Linked DNA regions of Neurospora crassa OR74A. The protein of the gene in region 1 purifies or fractionates together with the protein of each later gene. This does not show direct contact. Links are inferred from orthologs where the notes say so. Each region holds a gene or a part of one and is shown on either strand. Other genes may lie near its edges.

Evidence for each region.
Region 2: the proteins of NCU03952 (region 1) and NCU03018 purify together in Saccharomyces cerevisiae (affinity purification with western blotting; 3 studies listed by BioGRID, with this or other methods). This does not show direct contact. The link is inferred for Neurospora crassa OR74A from reciprocal best matches to the Saccharomyces cerevisiae genes MPP10 and UTP18.

Annotation. Positions count from the first base shown.
Region 1 is NC_026506.1:2,214,530-2,231,081, forward strand, and holds NCU03952 (U3 small nucleolar ribonucleoprotein Mpp10), read left to right. Parts: upstream 1-7,843; 5' UTR 7,844-8,252; coding exon 8,253-10,631; 3' UTR 10,632-11,084; downstream 11,085-16,552. Other genes in the region: npd-1 (FMN-dependent 2-nitropropane dioxygenase), read right to left, coding at 88-264, 330-415, 500-528, 650-1,213, 1,299-1,467; NCU03950 (hypothetical protein), read right to left, coding at 2,247-3,496, 3,577-3,777, 3,872-3,923; nuo19.3 (mitochondrial NADH-ubiquinone oxidoreductase 20 kDa subunit), read right to left, coding at 12,309-12,759, 12,893-13,079, 13,205-13,247; tbg (tubulin gamma chain), read right to left, coding at 14,597-14,824, 14,885-15,993, 16,097-16,137, 16,190-16,197. UniProt on the Saccharomyces cerevisiae protein: Involved in nucleolar processing of pre-18S ribosomal RNA. Required for the early cleavages at sites A0, A1 and A2 during 18S ribosomal pre-RNA processing.
Region 2 is NC_026501.1:8,426,268-8,430,243, forward strand, and holds NCU03018 (small nucleolar ribonucleoprotein complex subunit), read left to right. Parts: upstream 1-1,176; 5' UTR 1,177-1,462; coding exon 1,463-3,334; 3' UTR 3,335-3,512; downstream 3,513-3,976. Other genes in the region: NCU03019 (hypothetical protein), read left to right, coding at 29-182, 260-543, 607-918; NCU03017 (hypothetical protein), read right to left, coding at 3,562-3,951. UniProt on the Saccharomyces cerevisiae protein: Involved in nucleolar processing of pre-18S ribosomal RNA and ribosome assembly.

The DNA.
Region 1 (16,552 bases):
CACATAGACATACCAGTTAGCAAACAGCATCAACAGTCTTTTTGCAAGATAAAGGAAAGAAGAGAGAGAGAAAAAAAAAAAACATACGACCAAGTCACAGCCCGCGAGTTATCCCCAGAGCTCGCTGCCTCCTTGAACTTCTTGTGATTCTCTTCAAAGGGGACACCGGCCGCGTGGTCGTCGTAGGAGGCATTGCGAACGGCTCGCCCGTCGTAGACGTTGTGCCAGATTGTGTTGCAGTTGATTTGGTCGTGGAAATGGGATCTATGATCTGGTTGTCAGGAGGCTGCTGCTGGTGTGCAGTTCAGGGTTAAAAGGGTATGACTAACTTGACGGTGTTGAGACCACCATCGTTTGTCTCGAGGATGACCTTCCTGCGGAACTCGGGGGTGGAAGCTTCGACTGCTACGGTGAACTGAAAGGGAGGCTTGTCAGTACTTCTTTTCCCATCCAGAAGGAGGGGGAAAAGGGGGGGGGAGGGATCTGGAGAAGAACTTACCCTAGTACCCAATACCACACCCTCGGCGCCTATTAATCAATTTAACCAGGTAGTTAGCACATCGTCACCCATCTCGTCATATTCACCCACCACTTATCCTCATCCATTTCACTTCACTTCCCCAGAGAGAACACAGAAAAGAAAACTCACCTAGACCCAGCGCCCCTACAACCCCCCTCCCATCCGCCACACCTCCCGCCGCCACAACCACCACCTCTCGTTCCTTGAACTCTCTATCAAGCATATCCCTAACCTCCGGTACCAAACTCACAATCCCACTCCCTGTAGCAAGCTGATGCCCTCCCGCATCGATCCCTTGCGCAACAATCACATCTGCCCCATCTGCCGCCGCCTTCCTTGCATCTTTCACCGTGCCTACTTGAAAGAATACCACGAACCCCGAAGCGTGAAGGGCCTCGATGATTTGCTTTGCTGTTCCCTTTGCGCCAGGCTCGGAAGAGGCCTCGAAATCCGGGTCGTTGGCGAAGAGCCAGACTGCTTGCGGGGAGTGTTCGATCAGGATGGGCAGGACGGTGTCGGTTACGTAGGGAACGGAGATGGTGTGGGTTAAAATGAGGCCGACGCCAATGCCGGGGAGAGGGGTGAGGGGGCGGTCGGTAAGACCGAGGCGGCTGCGGGCGGAGGCGAGTTCGGTAGAGAGGGCGGTTAGGTGGGAGGAGCCGGGGCGGAAGTCGGAGCCGCCGGCGACAAAGCCTGGAAAAGGTTGCGCGGTGGTGTTAGTGCTGGGGGGTGTTGTAGATGAGATGGGTGAGTGGTAATGAGAGAAGGGGAGACGAACCAATACCGCCGGCCTTGGATACCTCGGCCGCAAGAGTGCCGTTGGCGATGAGATACATGGGGGCGCTGATGATGACGGGGTTCTTGGTGGTGGGGAACCAGGAGTTCAGCTTCGTGAGGGCCGCTTGGGCAGATTCCTCCTTCTTGCTGCTGTGGCCTGGGAAGTGCATGTTTATTGGTATATCTTGTTGATTCTGATTTCAAGTGTCTTTGGTGTTGTTGTTATGGTTGGTGAATGATTGTGAGGTGAGGTGCGGGGTGACGGTATGCTTATATAAATACTCCAACTCGGCGATGAGGTTCTCCGCGGAGGTTGTACTTACACCACAACTCAAAGTGGAGAAGGGTCACTCTTATATACGACAACAGCCGATCGCGTTCCGGTGGCTATGTTGAGTAACTTGCGACTTTCTCGAAAACTTGCTGTATTCCTGAACGATTTCCTGATTGGGATGTTTGGTATGGGTCCGGACATGGGGTGAATTACCGAGGAGAATAGGTAGGTGATTCACACTTGCACCGTTCCTTTCCCCACAAGGTCCCTCGGTCAAATAGTTGAACATTGACAGATGAAATCTGAACTTGGGAAGAAAGGGAAGCATGAGATCAGACACCCTGAGTATATATTATGTGTCTCTAGGATGAGGCGGCAATGCCATTCAATCGAAAAGTCGCGGTCATAGGTGAATGTATAGTAAGTACTGTCTGTTTTTGGATCAGTCATCAATATGATCTATCGCTAGATGACGTTGTGGGTCTGGTAGCCCCAATCCGCTGTCTGTCTATTCAATGTTGCCCTTTGAGCTACCCAAGGCCTTTGAACAGAGCTGTGTGCAACACATGAGTTGCTGTCAATCGTTATCAAGAGCTTCAAGGCTCCCGTATCCCTTTGGCCCTTGGCATGGGCAACATACTCTCACCTGCATGACCGCATAAGCATTGGCAGCCATCAGGGCGCCTTTCCCACCATCAAGACCAACAATATCGCATTGCCGACGCACGCCACTACAAATGTCACCCACACCGCAATCTCTCCTATCATCGAAGGTGCTTGAAACTCGTGCCTCGAATTCCACATGCACAACGCAGCGACTGCCGTGCCCAGCGAGGTGACGATCCCGACTGTCACGCCAGCATCTACCTCCATTCTCATCTTGTGGCGGCCCGTCATAATCAACATTGTCGCAATACCCATCAGCACAAACGTGACCAGGTAGCAGCCCCAAGTGCCCCAAAACAACGTTTCGTCGCGATGGCGTGCAATGCGTTGTTGTTCTAGGCTTCGGTAGCCCGACTCCGGAAACTCCTCAGAAGACGCATAGCCGTAAGAGCCTCTTCTCTCGGCGCGCCAACGACCACGGCTGAAGCTGTGTGGAGGCGAGTTTGTGAAGCGATCGCTGACGTTGTCATCGTCGATGTCGGTGTCGATGGGGGCAACGCCAGGAGGGTATGTAAAATAGCTGGGCGGCGCGAGGGTCGCGCCGTACCGGTCGGTCGACTGGGTTTGCGAGGATCCTAGTAGAGGCTGCTGTTCTGTACTTTCGTTTGCGCGTTGGTCTGGTGTTGATTCCTGACCACGCCCCATGATTTTCTTCATCGGCGACGAGATCCAGTTCATTATGCTGCTTACACCAGGGAATTTCATCTCTTCATCCGGGTTGATATAGATGGCATATTCATCGCAACGGTCGTCGCCGGCTTCGCTGCCGTGGTCATATTCGTTCCAATATCCTGTCGGGGCATCATCCTCGGGAACAATGGTCACGTTAGGCACGAGTCGGTGTTCCCCAGCGCTGGCCGGGCGGGTGGGCGTGGCGGGCTGGGTAGGTGGAGAGGAACTGCCACTACGACTCGAATCTCTCGGCGAGGCAGAGCGTATCGTCTGTAGCAGGTTTTCGTATTGTGATTGAAGCCGGGAGAAGTCACGCTTGGTGAAGCTTTTGGGGTTCGCCAGGATGGTTTCCCTGAACCGCGAGCCGAGAGTCGCCGAGCCCGTCCATTTCCGGTACTTCTTTAGAATCTTGCGAAAGGCAACGGTGTGTGCATTGACAAAGCGTTGGAGGGCCTGGATCTCGTCACCGCATTGTAGCAATTCTTGTTCGTATCTTGCAAATTGGCGCTGTCTTTTGGTCGAAGTGCGCGTTCTCGTAGAGGCAGCGCATCGGACAATATGGGCGTGTATTTGATTGGACAAGTGTTCTGGCGACGTGTGTCAAGATGTTAGTAATACGCGGCCGGAGTTGGGAGAATAGAGTGGCAGCGAGACGAGGTAAACATACGAAGACGGCGCGCTATTTCGTCCGCTTTGCTTGATACAAACAGATCGACACGATCATGTTGTCGGCAAAGCTCGTCGTAGAGGTCGTCTTCAAACTTTGAGAGTGCGGCGGCTTGGTGGCCTGGAATGGCAATCGCGGTTCCCTGAGACCTGGTGGTGTGCGCCTTGATGTAGTGTTTTAGCGAGTTGTAGTCGATGTTATCTGCTCGGTTGAGGTAAAGATCAGCAGGCATTCGTTGGTGAGATGTGGCACAGTCATCGGCAAAACCGGCGGAACAAGACGGGGAAAGACATACGGATTCGCCATTGGGGGACAGACTCCCTGTCAAACTGCTCCCCAAACTTCATTCCTGGTAGATGTGGTGGGCTGTAGTGGTGGTTGTACGGGTGTAGAGATTGGCACTTGTAATGCACGTATTGCAAGAAATGTCCTTTCACAACGTCGTCGAATCCCGTCTTGGGAGAGGTTACACCCGGTGGCGTCGATGTACGAAATAAACCGGTCTGCTGGGACTTTGATGGTCTGTACCGCTCCAAAAACCTGCTTCTTCTTTGTGCCTTTGTTTTGGTTCAAGTCGACGCCAAAGGCAGTGCAAAAAAGGCCGGAATGAATCTGTAATGACGATGTTGTTGGAGGGAGGCAAGCGGTTATATGCACAGATAAGAGAGGTAGTGTACAACTGTCTGTCGGGAACCCGCACCAGCGTCTCTTGCACCAACGGCACTGTGGCTATGACGAAAGTGTGGGATAAAAGCTTTGATCGCTGGCGGAGACGGTCTGGGGGAATGGGGACTGGACAGCCCAGGGTGTTGACTGTCTGAGGTCGTGATAAGGACGACCGGGGGACCGTGTGGGCTTGGAGAAGACGGTGAAGTTTCAACCGAGCGATCAACACAAACACTTCAGATTCGTTTCGGATGGCTGGAGACGGAGCGTCGCTAGACTTAGTTGGTAGAGTGGTCTAGAATGGCTGGCCAACGGTTGACTGCCGTCATTTGCGCTTAGTCTTTAGTGTGAACGTCGACCGAAGGCTGCAAGGAACTGGCGGGGAGAAAAGTGAAAGGAGACAAAGACGACGAAGATGGCAGAGAAGAAAGGAAGAAACGAAGTGTAGTAGTGTATGTGACGACAGGCCGAGCCGAAGTGAATCTGAAGAGCCATCAAATCTGAGACAAGCAGAGAGACAACTTGATAACTAAGTAAGCTGGAGTCACAGGCTTTTGAGAAAGCCAAGGAATCAAAATCAAGAAGGTCCTGTCCATCCAATGCGAACGAGAGGAACCACCTTCCACTCGACCTTTCTCAGTGGGTAAGTGGGTCTTTCTGCCAGGACCCAATGCAGCCCGGTCCGGGTCCCTCCAGGGCAGGGAAATCTTTGGTGGAACCTCGAGGTTTCCTGTGGGCTCTTTACACTACACTACGACGTAGCAGAAGTGGAGATGGAACCAACTGAGTTTGTGGTGTCCATCCTCTGCAACCATGTCCGTCAATGAGGTTTTCTTTTTGTTGGTTATCTTCAGGAACTTGCTTCAGTTCCTGGCCTCCCGTCTTTACCGTCCCGGAATATGGTTTTTGATTGGCACGGTTCCTTAATAGTTCCACCCTGGTCTAGAATCATCGGCCCTGTCATAGTTCAGTAAGCAGGCACGTGCTTGGGGCTGCCCGTGTCGTTGCCCGGGAAGCTACCCTCGGGAACGGTTATGGTAGACCTGCAATCTCTCCCCTTCTTTGTTCGGCTAAAAGGCACGCGACCAAGTGTTCTGTGTGTTTACCTTATCCACAAGCGAGCGTTTGTCGAGGATGAGTCTGGGCTATCACCAACTCGTTTATTATTGATCTACAAATTCATGCTAAAAGTTTTGTTAGCGCGAGACGTACAACGTCTTCAAACGAGGAAGAGAATCACTGACTATGGCGCTGCTATTGGTCTAGAAACACGCCAAAACCCGACCCGGATAAAGCGACTGTGCTCGATTCCATATGGCCTGTGTGGGTCCCATACAAATCGACAGCCAAGCTCAGCCAAGACCCAAAGCTTGGCATCTGTCGCGCCAACTTTCGCGACCGCAAGTCACCACCAAAGTCACCACCAAATGTCATTATCTTAACAACGATAATAAGAACTTAAAACCACCTTTTTTTAAAGCGTTGGACTTTCATTCACACGCAGGGGCCTCTCACCGGCCCCCTACACCCCCGGAACTAACCCTAACGCCTAACCCTAACCACTAACCCTAACCACTAATCTAGGTTACCGGGAGGTGACATGTGCCTTGGCCCACACAGGCTGTTTGGAATCGCGCACAGTCGCTTTATCCGGGTCGGCCAAAACCACCTCCAGGGTAACAACGATTGATCGTCCTCCACCAGGTTCCCCATACACACCCATTATGGTTGCGTAACTGGCTCGTCCAGGACAAAAAGAAAAACATGGTCTCCAGAACATGATGTCAACGGCATATTGACAAAACACCTACGAGTTTGTAAGGCTGTAGACACTTGTTGAGAACCATAAATGACCATGAAGACGAATAAAAGAGGTAAAATTAACGAGAGGAAATGTCATGATTCTGGTCTGGGCCGGCTGCAGTCTCTTTCATTTTGTCTCGACCGAGGTTAGGTAGGTACGGTACTCAAGCATTTGCACCGTGGTCCTACCAAGAGAAAACGATCGAGTTGCCACTGGTACAGCTGCAAGACGGCTCCCAACAGCATAGATGGGGTGGGGCGACGGACAGGTGCTCTTGACAAGTCGTGTTGTGAAGACCTGTTGTGGGATGCAGTTTCTCCTCTCACCCTCACATAGAGCCTGCCAGAAGGGAGGCGGATATGGAAAATAGAAAAGAATGAATCGGCCCGTCCGGATTTTCACAAGGAGATCTCCTTCGCTTGACAAATTAGGTAACATCCGGCAACTCAAAAGTATTTCCCGTCCCTCCATCTCGACGTATCTTCCAGCTCTGTAACCAAACAGTGTGCGATTGGCAGTTACATAGTGTGAGCCAACCGAAACTTCTCTCGCGACCTCCTGTACGACTTTGGAAATGTTGCCGTTAACTTGGCCATTCTACTCTAGGTAGGTAGCAGAGATAGATGGTGTGATGCGATTGGACCGAGCAACGCCACTTAGCGATCAAGTTCATGTGTCGTACTATACAGGAGGCCACTGACACTTGATGGGATCCTCGCCGTTCACGACAGCAAGTTAGTGGTTACATAGCAAACATCTTCACCGTGAGGTTCACAGTTATTTCCCGGCGAACATGAAAAAGAGGTCATATTGAGAGCACGCAACGCACGACCATAGAGGCTGGGATCACCAAAGCCACCATCGCCCTCACATTGACCTCGGCAACCGCTAAAGAACATGATACAATTCCCTGGCCTGGGATACGAAGGTCTTGAGTATCACTCGCAGCTCGGCTCGGCGGGACACTCTCCCGCGAGTTGCATTCAATGAAGGCTTAGACGGTCCAGACCCTAATGCAGCACGTCAACGCTGCTGTCGTATTTTGAAAGAATACCTCATGGTCCGTCAAAATTCTCACGGGCGATACCATATGCATAGGGATGTGGCTTGTGAAGGAACTTCAACAAGTGTTATGACTTGCAGCATCTTTCCCCGAAGGTGCGCAAATAACACCCTTACATTTCTACTATGTAATAAGAGCTTTCTCTGCACGTTATCCAGACCATGAAGAAGAGCCGGCTGGGTAAGTAGCCTACCTCTACAGAAAATAGTCCATCAACGTCTGTCGCAGAGATCTCATTACGATGTTGAAAAGAACACGAGAAGCATACTGTAATGTAGCTAGTATGAGGCAAACCTAGCGCTCTTCCTCAATGGGGTTAATCGTTGGTTTAACATTTTACAGTTCTTGCACAATTTAATTACCTTTTACCGTTTGACAAGAAACTTCCAGTTACGACGAAAGTGAAGCGGCGAAAGATACAATAGACTATGTACGAGCTGATGGGATTGATAGGGTAGTCTGGAATTTTAGATAAGGAAGTGCTGATAACAAGCTAGGTGCCTGTGTCGAAACGGCGACTTCACCTATCCAACAGCACTGGAGATCGTTGCGTGATTGCTTACTGAGTTTCCAGTAACTTCAGAGTAACTCGCTAGCGTATGCTATATTTAAAAAAAGGTCATTGTGAATTCATCCCCTCTCTCAAGCTTGATGTCGAGCATCTCCTTTGAGACTGCATGCACTTTGTGGTTTGTTTACTTGACATTGTCATCCGATTATAAGTGTTAAGGCAACCTCGTCTTATAGCGGTGCACCGCCCTGAAGCTTAACAACAAGAGAAGTGGGACCTACTTCCATTTCCAGAGAGCAGAATCACCCATCATTGGTCAATTCACAGCCAGCCCCATAAGCTGGTGCGGGGACGCCTGCCTCCACGCTTCGCCGTTTCCTGGACCTTGGAGAGCGCTATGGCAGAAAAAATTTTGGTCCATCAATATCGCCGGCTGGCAACCAAACATCGTCAGGTCGAACTTTTTTTTGTTTTGGTACGGGCAACGGCAAACACCGACGCCCTGCCATTTCTTAGTCAAGCGTCCATATTGAACCCTCAAGTCAGACACTTGTATGACAAGGCCAGCCTCGATACCCTAGCCTTGATTGATCTTCTTACAGCATTAGTCCAACCCTACCTAAAAAACAGACATGGCAGCTGGCAGCATAACCTCTTCCGTAACCTCGACATCCCAAACAATCACCCACGACCCCTCCACACACAACAGCGTCATGGCCGCTACCCTCGCCGCATCGTCGAGCGGCAGCACCTCTCCTTCGACAATTGCCAACAACCCCGTCGTCGCCTCCTTCCTCTCGGCCCTGGCCGACGAGTCCAACCGCCACGTCTTCCTGCAGCCGCCCTCGACCCTTCCCGCCGGATCCCTCCTGCTCGCCAAGGAGACCCTCGACGCGCTCGCCTCGCAGGTCAGTGACCACCAGCAGGCAAAGCTGAAAGAGATCGCGGCCACCATCGGTGGAAAGAAGCGCAAGCGTGAGGCTGGCTATGACAAGAATGCCGTGCTCAAGATTCGCAAGCTGCACGTCGACGACGGCTTCGAGACGGAGCAGATTTGGCAGCAGGCCAAGAAGATCATTGCCAGCGCCACAAAGGAGGCTGGCGATGTGCTGAAGGAGCTGGAGGAGAACGGGATTGTGGGCACCGGCGAGGAACAAGAGAAGACCATTGAGTTTGGAGAGGATGGGTTTGAGCTTGGTTCTGATGAGGAGGAGGAGGACGATGAGGAGGATGCTGATAGCGAATCTGGTTCTGGCTCTGAAGGAGAAGAGGATGAGGAGGATGACGAAGAAGAATTAGAAGGAGAAGAGGGCAGCCAGATCGACGACGATGAAGAAATCGAGATCGATGGCGAAGAGGTTGAATTCTCGGACGAAGATGGAGAAGGAGAGTTTGATGAGGAGGAGGAGGAAGAAGAAGAAGAAGAAGAAGAAGAAGAAGAGGAAGAGGATGCGCCAGAACTTGTCGAGGATCCCAACGGCCTCAACGACGGCTTCTTCTCAATAGACGACTTCAACCGGCAGACACAGTTGTGGGAGGACGCGGATGCCCGTGCGGACCCCAACGTCGATGCCGACAGCGACGACGAACAGCTAGACTGGCACGCCGATCCTTTCGCGACAAAGCCAAAATCAAAGAAGGGCAAGAGCGACAAGAAGAAGGACGAAGACCAGGATGAGGACGACGTCGACATGGGCGATGAATCCGAAGACGACGAGGCCCTCGAGGCTGCTGCCGCCGCCCACGCCAAGAAACTCAAGGGCAAGAAGAACGTGGAGCAGCTCGAGGACGATGGCGACGATCTCGGCCTTACAGATGGTGTTCTCGGTATGGACATGGACCTTACCGCCAACGACATTTACTACAAGGACTTCTTCGCGCCACCTCAAAAGAAGAAGACCGGCAACCAAAGGAAAGGAGGCTATTTCCCCAAGAAACTTGAGCAGCCAGATGAGGCCGATATGGAGAGAGCCGAGAATGATGTGCGCCGCGATCTCTTCGACGACATCTCGGAGAATGAAGATGAAGATAAGCTCTCGGATCTTGATGCTGGTGATCCGAGATCTCGCCGGTCCGCCCACGAGCGCAGACAAGCCAAGATTGCCGAGGAGATCCGCAGGCTCGAGTCTGAGCTAGTTGCCAAGCGCGCCTGGACTCTGTCCGGTGAGGCTTCCGCGCAAGCTCGTCCCATGAACTCGCTCCTGGAGGAAGACCTCGAGTTTGAGCATGTCGGAAAGCCTGTCCCCGTCATTACCGAGGAGGTTTCCGAGACGATTGAGGCGCTCATCAAACGCCGCATTCTTGCCAACGAGTTCGACGAGGTTCTCAGGAGACGTCCTGACACCCTCAATAACCCCAACAACGCGCGCCGCGGTCTCGTTGAGATCGACGACACCAAGGGCAAGCAGTCTCTCGCCGAGATCTACGAGGAGGAGCACATCAAGAAGGCCAACCCGGACGAGTACGTCAGCGCTTCGGACGAGAAGCTCACGCGCGACGAGGCCGAGATCAAGAACATGTGGAAGGACATCTGCGCCAAGCTCGACGCCCTCAGCAGCTGGCACTACAAGCCTAAACCCGCCGCACCCACCATCAGCGTTGTCACCGACGTCGCCACCGTCGCCATGGAGGACGCCATGCCCACCACGGCCCAGGGTGTGTCGGGTGGCGAGAGCACGCTCGCGCCCCAGGAGGTGTACGCCCCCGGCAAGGACTCAGTCGAGAAGGGCGAGGTCGTGGCCAAGAGCGGCCTGCCGATTGCCAAGGAGGAGATGAGCCGCGAGGAGAAGGCTAGGAGACGCAGACGCGAGAAGGAGCGCATCCGCAAGGCCGGCGGCCTGGATGCGAACAAGAACATCAGCAAGGGTGCCCAGGAACGCAAGGAGACGATGAGCCAGCTCAAGAAGGGCGGTGTCAAGGTTATTAACCGGAAGGGTGAGACGGTTGGGTTGGATGGCAAGAAGATCGCGGAGCAGAAGGGTCCTACGTCGAGTGGTGCCTTCAAGCTTTAAAGGTCGGGTTGTTAGACGAGGGATAGACGTAGGAAGAAGATGGATGATACCCTGATGGGTTGGACGGGTGGGCAGTCTTGGCTAAGGGCGATCTGTAAAGGTCTTTTTCTTTTGTATGGAATAGGTACATAATTGGGAGTTCAAAAACTATGCATGAGTTTGTTTTTCATCGGCCGTCAGCCGGTATACAATGCTCAACTGTTCACGTTCAACATTGTCGAAGATGATTCTTGTGTGCCTAATATTATGGAGTCAGTACAACAACTAATCCTGGCCCTCTCCAACCTCATTGCTCTGTTTCCCCTCATGCTTTCCTTCTGTTACCCGTCACTATTCTCCGTGTGATCTTTCCTCCAATTCAGCCCAGATCATAGCGACTCATAACTTGGTACCTACCTCTACCTCCACAGGTCTACAAAGTGAAAAAATGCAAAATCAGTCTAGCTATCCACCCTCAGCCAAATTGGTAACTCTCCATTTTCATTACATCTTATTAGTATTTGGGATTGCCTACCCCTACTACTAGCTTGCCCTTTATCAAAAAAAAAAAAAAAAAAAAAAAAAAAAAAAAAAAAAAAAAAAAAAAAAAAAAAAAAAGAAAAGAAAAGAAAGAAAAAAAATAAAAGGAAAAAAAAAGAAACAAAAAAAAAGGAAAAAGGAAAAAGTTCCCTCTACCTTGTTCAAGGCTATCTGTACCCCGGACCTCAGGTTTTGGTTGATTAAGAAGAAGTGAAGAGAGAAGTGAAGAGAGAAGTGAAGAGAGAAGTGAAGAGAGAAGTGAAGAGAGAAGTGAAGAGAGAAGTGAAAAGGGGATAACCCGAGGCTGAAGAGACCATGAAGAGACAGTTAAGCATGTTGTACACTACCTCTTATTCTGTTTGAAACCGTCTTCTTCGTCCGCCCTAATAAGACCTAGTGCCAGACGAACTGTCCAGACTATGTTTGGTATCATTCTACATCCATCATCCGCGTCCACCTCTGCAATCCACCACTGGCTTCTTGATATAGTTTGTTCATTTTTGGATTTATGAGCATGTACCCAAAATTGAAGGGGTAATCACATAGATATACTAGTTCTGGGGAACAGCTCGTGAGCCATTGACTTCTCGAAGACGGTCCGGAGATGTGAATACATACCCATATACGACAGACCATTTGCAGTCCCCTCTCGATCACGATGACTTGTTTGGGAGGGCCAAGGACATATGTGTTTCGAAAATCTCTCCTTGTTTTCATAGCAAGGATTGGCTACTTGAGTCTCTTATGAGGACTTTACAGTCGAACAATGGGTCGTTTTCTGGCCCTCGTCTCACTTGCCAACTGACTCGAGCATATACAGCAAAAGTACACAGTCACACGTCTTGAAGCAAAACAAAGTACAACTGGCCGACACTTTTCCAGCTCATGATGAGCTTTGAACGGATAAGGGAGAAAAAGCAAGACGCAAACTCTGAGCATAATACATCTTGTCTAATTTCCACTGAAGTTCCTTCTTGTGAGCCGTTGTTCTCGAGCTCTTCCGTTCGTCCATGAAATCTAACCGTGCTGTCTTTCCGGTTTTTACCACCACTCAATCTTCTTCTTTCATCGATCCTTTCTTGGCGCTACCACTCACCCCAAAGTCTAACCCCCCTCCCATGACCACGACAAGCAAGTGCCAAGCAGTAGTAACGCTCTCTACTTGCGATACCACATCCTCGTAATCTTCGTATTCCGCATCTTCCTCTGCAACTGGAAAATGCCATACATGAGCGCTTCACTAGTAGGCGGGCACCCCGGGACGTAGATGTCAACAGGGACAATCCGGTCGCAGCCGCGCACGACGCTGTACGAGTAGTGGTAGTAGCCGCCGCCGTTGGCGCACGAGCCCATGCTGATGACCCAACGCGGATCGGGCATCTGGTCGTACACCTGGCGCAGGGCGGGCGCCATCTTGTTGGTCAGGGTGCCCGCCACAATCATGACGTCCGACTGGCGGGGCGAGGCACGGAAGATGATGCCCAAACGATCTTGATCGTACCGCGGGGTTGAGAGGTGCATCATCTCGACGGCACAGCAGGCGAGGCCGAAGGTCATGGGCCAGAGAGAGGATTGGCGGGCCCAGTTGACGATGCTGTCGAGGGTTGTGCTATATTTGAATGTGTGTTAGTGGCATGTCCTTGTTGCTTGTGTTGTTGTGGAGAGGGCATAGGGGATATATCCTTGTCCGGATGTCAAGAGCGGATGTGGAGTTCGTGGAGCCCTCGGAACGTGTAACGTACAGAGCATATTGAACGGCGCCCTTGGTGCCCTCCTGGCTGGGAAGAGGAACCTCTCTGCGCTCGCGCCTGGCGATGCCGTGCTGTGCGCCCGCCGGGGCGACGGCACCCGTGGCGTCCTTGCGGGAGGACGAGGAGATGGAAGCGACAGCGGCCGCACGGAAGGGAACGATTTGGGCAGTCGGCCGGGCTGTGGATAGTTGGTTTATCGTCAGCTGGAGTTCGTCGCCGTGGGGATTTCGTGATGGAGCTGTCGAATGACTCGCGCGCTGACTCTCCGTCGCATTCAGAAAACAAAACACAGGCATCACCCACCTCTAAGAGCCATCGAGGCGCCTGTCCTCACAGAAGACATCATGTTGAAAATATCAATTGTCGCAAAAGGAGCGAGGTCTAGGTACCTGGGGAAAGGAGCGAGGGCGAAGAGGGTCCGGAACGGGGCTCGCAATGATAGTATCGACGTCGTCCCACCCAGTCTGCGGTTACACAGCGAGCCTCCGACTCCCCTCAGCGACGGGACTTCAGTTAGTTACAGTGATGCTGCGGCTTAGCCAAGTTATCCCGAGCATTTGCCTCCATAAAGTGACCCACTTTGTGGCGTCGAATAAGGCTGGGGATTTGAGGATTGAAAAGAGCTAGCTTTCCATTGGTCAAGGCATGTTTTCTTCCTGGGGAAGTTGGAGCAACAGGGAAGCTCAAGGGACTTCTGGGAAGGACTCCTACTCCTCCCCTCCCGCGCTGGATGACCATGTCGTTTGAAATCCGTGCATCTCGAATTCTCGCGGTAATCTGCATTGAGCGCAGTGCATCTGATGTATTTTGCCAAATCTTGATGAGGTCATCTTCACCCTGAAGTGTTGGTAGGGAGATACGCCTATCACCGTCCTTGGGTTCCTGATTGAGACTAAAAGCAGTCAATGCCATCCCTGTCTCAATATTTTGTCTAAATACGCTAAGGAGTGCCAAGATGTGGTGATAGCTTCATCTGCATCTATATAGCTTCCTGCAGAGGACCATAACGATATTGATCGCAGCACCCACTGACAATGAAACACAACCAAGAAACAGAAAAAGTAAAAAAAAAAAAGTAAAAAAAAGAGAGAGGACAAGAGCTGGAATCGAACGGCTGACGTCACGTTCAACTGGAAGGGAGTAGAAGAGCCCTATTTTGCATAGCCGGAAGACGCCAGCTTACAGTGCTTCCAGGGAGGTTCTCCCCCGCCATTTAGGTCCCCGTTGGGTCACCTACGGCGGCGAGGGCCCCCCCCCCAGCATGTGGTGCACTACCCTCCTTGTGCAAAGAGAGCTCAGCGCACCACGCCGCTCGACCACGCAGCCACTTGTCAGTTGGTTGAGTACTTATCACCTTGGGGTCCTTTATGAAGCCCAAGCTGAGGTCGCGCGTGCATGCATTTTGGGGTTTGAAGACAAGTGGTATTTCCATAGCCTCAGTGGTCAAAGAGCTGCTGCAATCTATCGACAACATGCCAAACGATACAGAAAACGCGCGCCAACACCTTTCTCCTGGTTTTCCCTCCCGCCCAATAACGCCTGCGAACAACAATCTGGTCGTGATATCGCGTCAGCCTAGTTAAGAAAAAAAAAAAAAAGAAGAGAAAAAGAGGGATACCAGCTGTCTTTAAAGGATCCCAGGTATAGTCGCAAAACAAAAGGCCCCCAGCTGGCCATCATCTGTCCGGCTAAGACTCAAGCCATTCTCTTGTCCGTGTCAGCCGACGCGTTTTCGCCAAGCTCGGGGTTGAGATAATTGGCGTCTTCGGCAGCCTCGTAATCGGCAATAAGGTCCATGACGACCTCCCTGGCTTCGTCAAACTCGTTGAGGTTTTCAGAAAACGGCGCCGTCTTTTTGTAGGCTTCCATAAAGGCGTTGCGCTTCCGCATGCCATCGTACTGCCTAACGATACGCTTGAAGAGCTGTGTGAAGAAATGTCAGTTTGATCATCTATCTAGCCAACACAGCAGCAGTTGACATACCGTAGCAATACTAGTATGGTTTGCCAACATCAAACCACTGACACGATGTGCCATAGTCACGTAGGGACTCCTCTTGGTCAGTGCCACCTGGATGCTAGCGGGACCCCAAGGAATGAATGTAGCAAGACGACGTTCCCTAATACGGAGCAGACTCTTGTGCACATCGGTTGGGTCCACGTCGCCCTGGATGACGTTCAGGATGGAAATGTAGCAGCTCTTCTTGCCGGGTACAGTAGACACCATGCGATTCTTGGGCTGCAGCAATCGTCTCATGACGTCGAGAACCGTCGTTTTGCGCACCGTCTTTGCCTGCTCTACCTGGTCGCCAGTGAAGGGCGTGTACGACGTCATCAAGAAGTGGCATCGAGGAGTCGGAATCAAGGACGCGAGAATGCTGACCAGGTCGTTGTGCATGTAGCCGGGGTATCGAAGGGTGGTTGTGCTGGCGGACATGACGGTCGATACGAGCTGATTCGTCTGTTGGAAGGATGGCTCTTGTACGTGTAGTCTGTCGGCGGCAATGTGTGACAAGGCGCCGTTGTCAAGCACCACTACCGAGTCGGCGTTTTGCGTTAACCTCCTCATGGCAAGTAAACTGTTGTAGGGGTGCACGACAACATCGCCGGCGCTGGTCGTGTCGGGAAATACCGAATATGTCTGGATGATCTTCTTGGGGAAGCGGTCGTTCAGTCGCTCGAGTAGGAAAGAACCCAGGCCTGATCCTGTGCCGCCGGCGATGGAGTGTAACATCATGAAGCCCTCGAGGGAGTCGCTGCCGTCGGCTTCGCGCTCAATCATCTCCATGATCTCCTCATGTACCTGCTCGCCTGTTTGGTAACCATCACCCCAGTTGTTACCCGCACCAAGTCCGCTCTTGCCCACGTAGAAGTTTTCTGGGTTGTATATGTTCCGGTATGGTCCGGTCTGGATGGTATTGATGACTCTGGGTTCGAGATCGATCAGGATGGACCGGGGAATGTATCGCGTATCGTCGCTCTGGTAAAAGAAGACATCTTTACGGTCGCCGCCTTCGGTCGCAAAGTCCTCGATGGTTCCGTCCTGGCTGATGCCATGCTCCAGACAAAGCTGCTGCCAGAACTGGCTTCCGACTTGAGAATGTTAGCAGAAACTGCGCGTCCAGCTGCCGGATGTCGAGGCGCAAGACTGGGTGAAGGTCGACTGCCTCCTCGTCGGGTTGAATTGGGCACTCACTGCTGTTGCCGCACTGGCCGGCCTGGATGGTTATTATTTCTCTGTTTGCCGGTTAGTCACGATATGTTGGGTGCTGGGATGAGGGACGCGTACCTGGGCATGGTGGTGGCATTAACGAGGCGCGAGACCTCCAGGCGGAAATTGTTGCAATTGGGACAAAAGCGGAGGGAACATCGGTAAACATATGGAAGGACGTCAGCAGAGCACGCCCGGTAGTTCCCCACATTGGATTGCAGCACGTTGCCCACCACTACTACGCTAAGATTCCCGCGTCGACGCGACAGAAACGGGAGGAGATGGAACCCAGGTAGCTGCCGTGCCCCTGCGAACGCTACAAGGGACGGGAAATCACCAAACGCTACCTACCTCTACCTACAGTGACGCCCGCTGTCAGCTGCTAGCAGCATGATCGGAGAGGGGCACCTAACCTGGGCCGGTAGAGGTACCTCTCTCTAC
Region 2 (3,976 bases), on another chromosome or scaffold:
CCGAGATCGTTGAATCACATTGCTGAGAATGACACAATCATTGTCTCTCGCTGTGTTTGCAGCTGCGGCACTTTTTGCGACTAAGGGTCTTGCGAGCAACTTTACCGTTAGCAATGGCCAGATTTTCACCCCTGGTTTTGTTATCGTCGATTCCCCCCAGCCGGACACGCCTCTTGGCGGAGGTTAGTACTATTAGTACCCGGCTGGCTGTCGGCAAAGGACTTGAGGACTTGCTACTAATAAGCTTCAACTTGTGTAGACAATGTCGAGATTGCGCTCGATGTTTCTGCCAATGGCAAGCTTCCTCTACCGCCCTACGGCGACGACGCTTCCAGCCAAATCTACAACATCAACATCTTCCTTTACAGCTACGTAACGGGCCGAAACTTGACCATCACCAACGGTACTGCGTCGGCCAACAATGCCACACTCGGTGATATCATGCTCTCCGAGCCTGGTAGCACCGTGAAGCATGTCCGGTGGACATGGCCCGACTGCATGGTTGGCGATGGTACGAATGGGAACGATCGTGGCAGTTACAATGTGGGTTTTCCAAATAGTCAGCTTAAGAGTGTGTTGATAGCCATTTCACTGACAATTCAAAAGATCTCCATCCACCAACGCTTCAGACTCAATGGCGAGAACCACTACACGATATTTGATCTTCCCGTCTCTGTGACCAACAGCATCAGCAAAAGCGACGACCGCCCGTCTTGCCAATCACTTGATAACCCGTTACTGGCGCCCGAGGACATCGATTGGACAGACACTAACGAACTCGGCGCCCTCTTTGCTCCTGGTGATTCGACGGTTATTGAGACGTCGAATGTTGGTAGTGGTGCTGGGCTGGCGAGCTGCAAGCATGCACTTAACTTGTTGTGTGTGGTGGGCATTAGCTGTGCTCTGTTGTTAAGCTAGGCTCTAGACTTGCTTGTCGTCCAATAATCAAAAAGGTGGCTGTGAGATGACATAGAATCATCTGCAAGGATACCAAAACACCACGTACTCTTCATGCATATGTTCTTTTTGAAATCATATATTTGCTCTGCGTGGCTCATAATTTTAGTACTAGTTCGTGTCTGGTCAGATTTATTGTCTTCGAATGAGTTCACATAAAGTCATCTTCATCACAAAGATATTGTTAATGAAAGTAGCATTGAGGCATCAGATAAGTTTAATATATGTTTATTTTTTTACTTTTTTTTTTGTAGGGGTACTTCAAACTTATTCCTTGAACAAGGCTGGCGTGCTTGTGATAGCAAGTGGGTCCAGATTAAGTGGGACAGGATCTGCGATCTGCAAGGCTGATAACGAAAAAAAAAGTTCCCAACCTCAAAACAAACCAAACACTAGCGACTGGTCGTGGCATTTCCGTCCATTTCAACTCCATTTAACCAGGACCGGATCTCACAGCAAAAGTTCCCGTTACTGGGCTTTGCGCAATCTCCTAAATCAGAACAAAATGGCGCCACAGACGAAAGACGAAGTTTCCGACGACAACGAATTCGTCGGATTCGACGAGGAGAGCGATGAGGAGATGCACGACAATGATGGCATGTCAGTAGACGACGACGACGAGGACGACTCCGATATGGATTCAATTGCCGACCCGAGGAAAAAGTACGATATTGAAGAGAAGGACTCTGACGAAGAAGACCTCGAACGATTCGTCTTGGGCAATAACGACACCTTCCGCGCCCAGCTTTTCCGCGACGATTTCCTCGCCGATATTACCGATTCCAAGGCTCTCATTAGGACCGACAAGCAAGATGACACGACTGGCCTCGAACATGTCGACGATAACGCCCTCTTCGCGTTCGATACTGGCGTTCCCGGTAATAAGAAGCAGACAGAGGCCGCGCCCTCTGCGCTAGAGGCTTACGAGCAGAAGGAGGACCCCCCAGCGTGGGAGGACAGCGATGACGAGCGGTTGACAGTATCCCTTGCGGCTGCCTCGCGGTTGCGCAAGCTGCGTCAGTCCGAAGAGGAGGATGTCGTGAACGGCACCGAGTACGCGCGCCGCCTGCGCTCGCAGTACCTCCGACTATACCCCCTTCCGGAGTGGGCCAAGGAATCCTCGGCCGCCAGCCAGCGCCGGAGGAGAAGATCTTCAGCCGCCGGTTCCTCCTCCGAGGAAGACAGTGACGCCGAAGACGACATCGAATCCGCCCTCCCTCTCGAGACCTTCCTCCGCGACGTCAACTCTTTCAACGCCAGCGCCGATGCCCGTGGCAGCAAGCGCCGCAAGCTGCGCCCCGAGACCATCGACATTCAGCGCTCGCGCGACATCCCCGACATTCACAAGCAGTCCGTCAGCTCGTTGTCCTTCCACCCCAAGCACCCCATCCTGCTCTCGTGCAGCGTCTCCTCCATCATGTACCTACACCAAGTTGACCCGACCGCGCACCCGGTTCCGAACCCGGCCCTCACGTCGGTGCAAGTCAAGCGCACCGACCTTCGGCGCTCCGAGTTCCTCGGTCCCGATGGCGACGACGTCATCTTCGCCGGTCGCCGGCGCTACTTCCACAGCTGGAACCTCTCGTCGGGTGCCGTCAAGAAGATCACCCAGATCCAGGGCCACCAGCGCGAGCAGCGTACCATGGAGCACTTCCGTCCCTCGCCCTGCGGACGCTACCTGGGGCTCATCGCCTCCGAGAAGAAGGGCGGCGGCATGATCAACATCGTCAACGTGCGCACGATGCAGTGGATTGCGCAGGCGCGCACCAATGGCCGCGGCGGCATCTCCGATTTCGCCTGGTGGGGCAACGGCAACGGCCTCTCCATCCTCGGCAAGAACGGCCAGGTCACTGAGTGGAGCATGCTCAGCCGGCGCACGGTCGGCGTTTGGCGCGACGAAGGATCGATCGGCGGCACGGTGATTGCGCTGGGCGGGCAGAAGGGCACCGGCCCTAGCCAGATTGGTGGCGATCGCTGGGTGGCTGTGGGCTCGAATAGCGGCATTATGAACATTTACGATCGGAATGATTTGGTTGAGCCTGTTAAGAAGGAGGGTGGTGCGTCGGCGTCCAAGGAGGAGACAGTGCAGATTAAGAGCATCCCCACCCCGCAGAGGACGTTTGAGCAGCTCACGACGCCCATCTCAGTGGTGACGTTCGCGCCGGACGGTCAGCTATTGGCGTTTGGTAGCTTCCACAAGAAGGACGCGTTAAGGCTGGTGCACTTGCCTAGCTGCACCGTTTACAGGAACTGGCCTACGGAGCAAACGCCTTTGGGTAGGATCACTGCTGTGGCGTTTAGCCACCAGAATGGTGGTGATGTGTTGGCGGTGGGCAATGATGTGGGCAAGATTAGGATGTGGGAGATTAGGAGCTAGATCTGCGCATTGTGTAGTGCGTTGAGTTGGCGATAAAATAGTGCGGAGTATAAACTAGTGGTAATCTAAGGGTTTGAAGGTTTTGGGCCATGAAATTCTGTCCAGCTCGTCTAAAAGGTTTCAGCAAGTGTCAGCCCTATGGCAACGATATGTATTCCCATGCTTCTCCTTGTACGCATGACATGCATCAAACCACGTCTTCAGAGGCATCAGTATCCCCTCAATCCTCAGGTGCTTCCAGTTTCCGTTTGCTTTACCTCCTTCTCCCTTTGCGACTTCTCCTTTCCCTTCAACTTCGCCTCCTTCTTCTTCCCCAGCCTTTCCTCTCTTTTACTCTGCAACTTTTCCTCCAAATCCGGATCGAAAATGTGCTTGAGCATCGCGTGCTCCGGCTGATCTTCGATGACCTTATTCCTGGGGTAAATCTTGCGATGCCCTATTGAATACTTTGAGAGCGCCTGAGGTGTTGTGAATCGCTGCGGCCTTGACTCCCCCCCGGCCTGAATGATTCTATCGGTTTCAAGGACATCATAGATGTTGACGTGTACGGCTTTAATGGCCTGGTGAGGGCGAAAAGAAATGGGTATCAGTAATGGCCGGTTCCCCGGTAGTGTGGCCTAGAGCGAGAAGGGACCAAAGAAG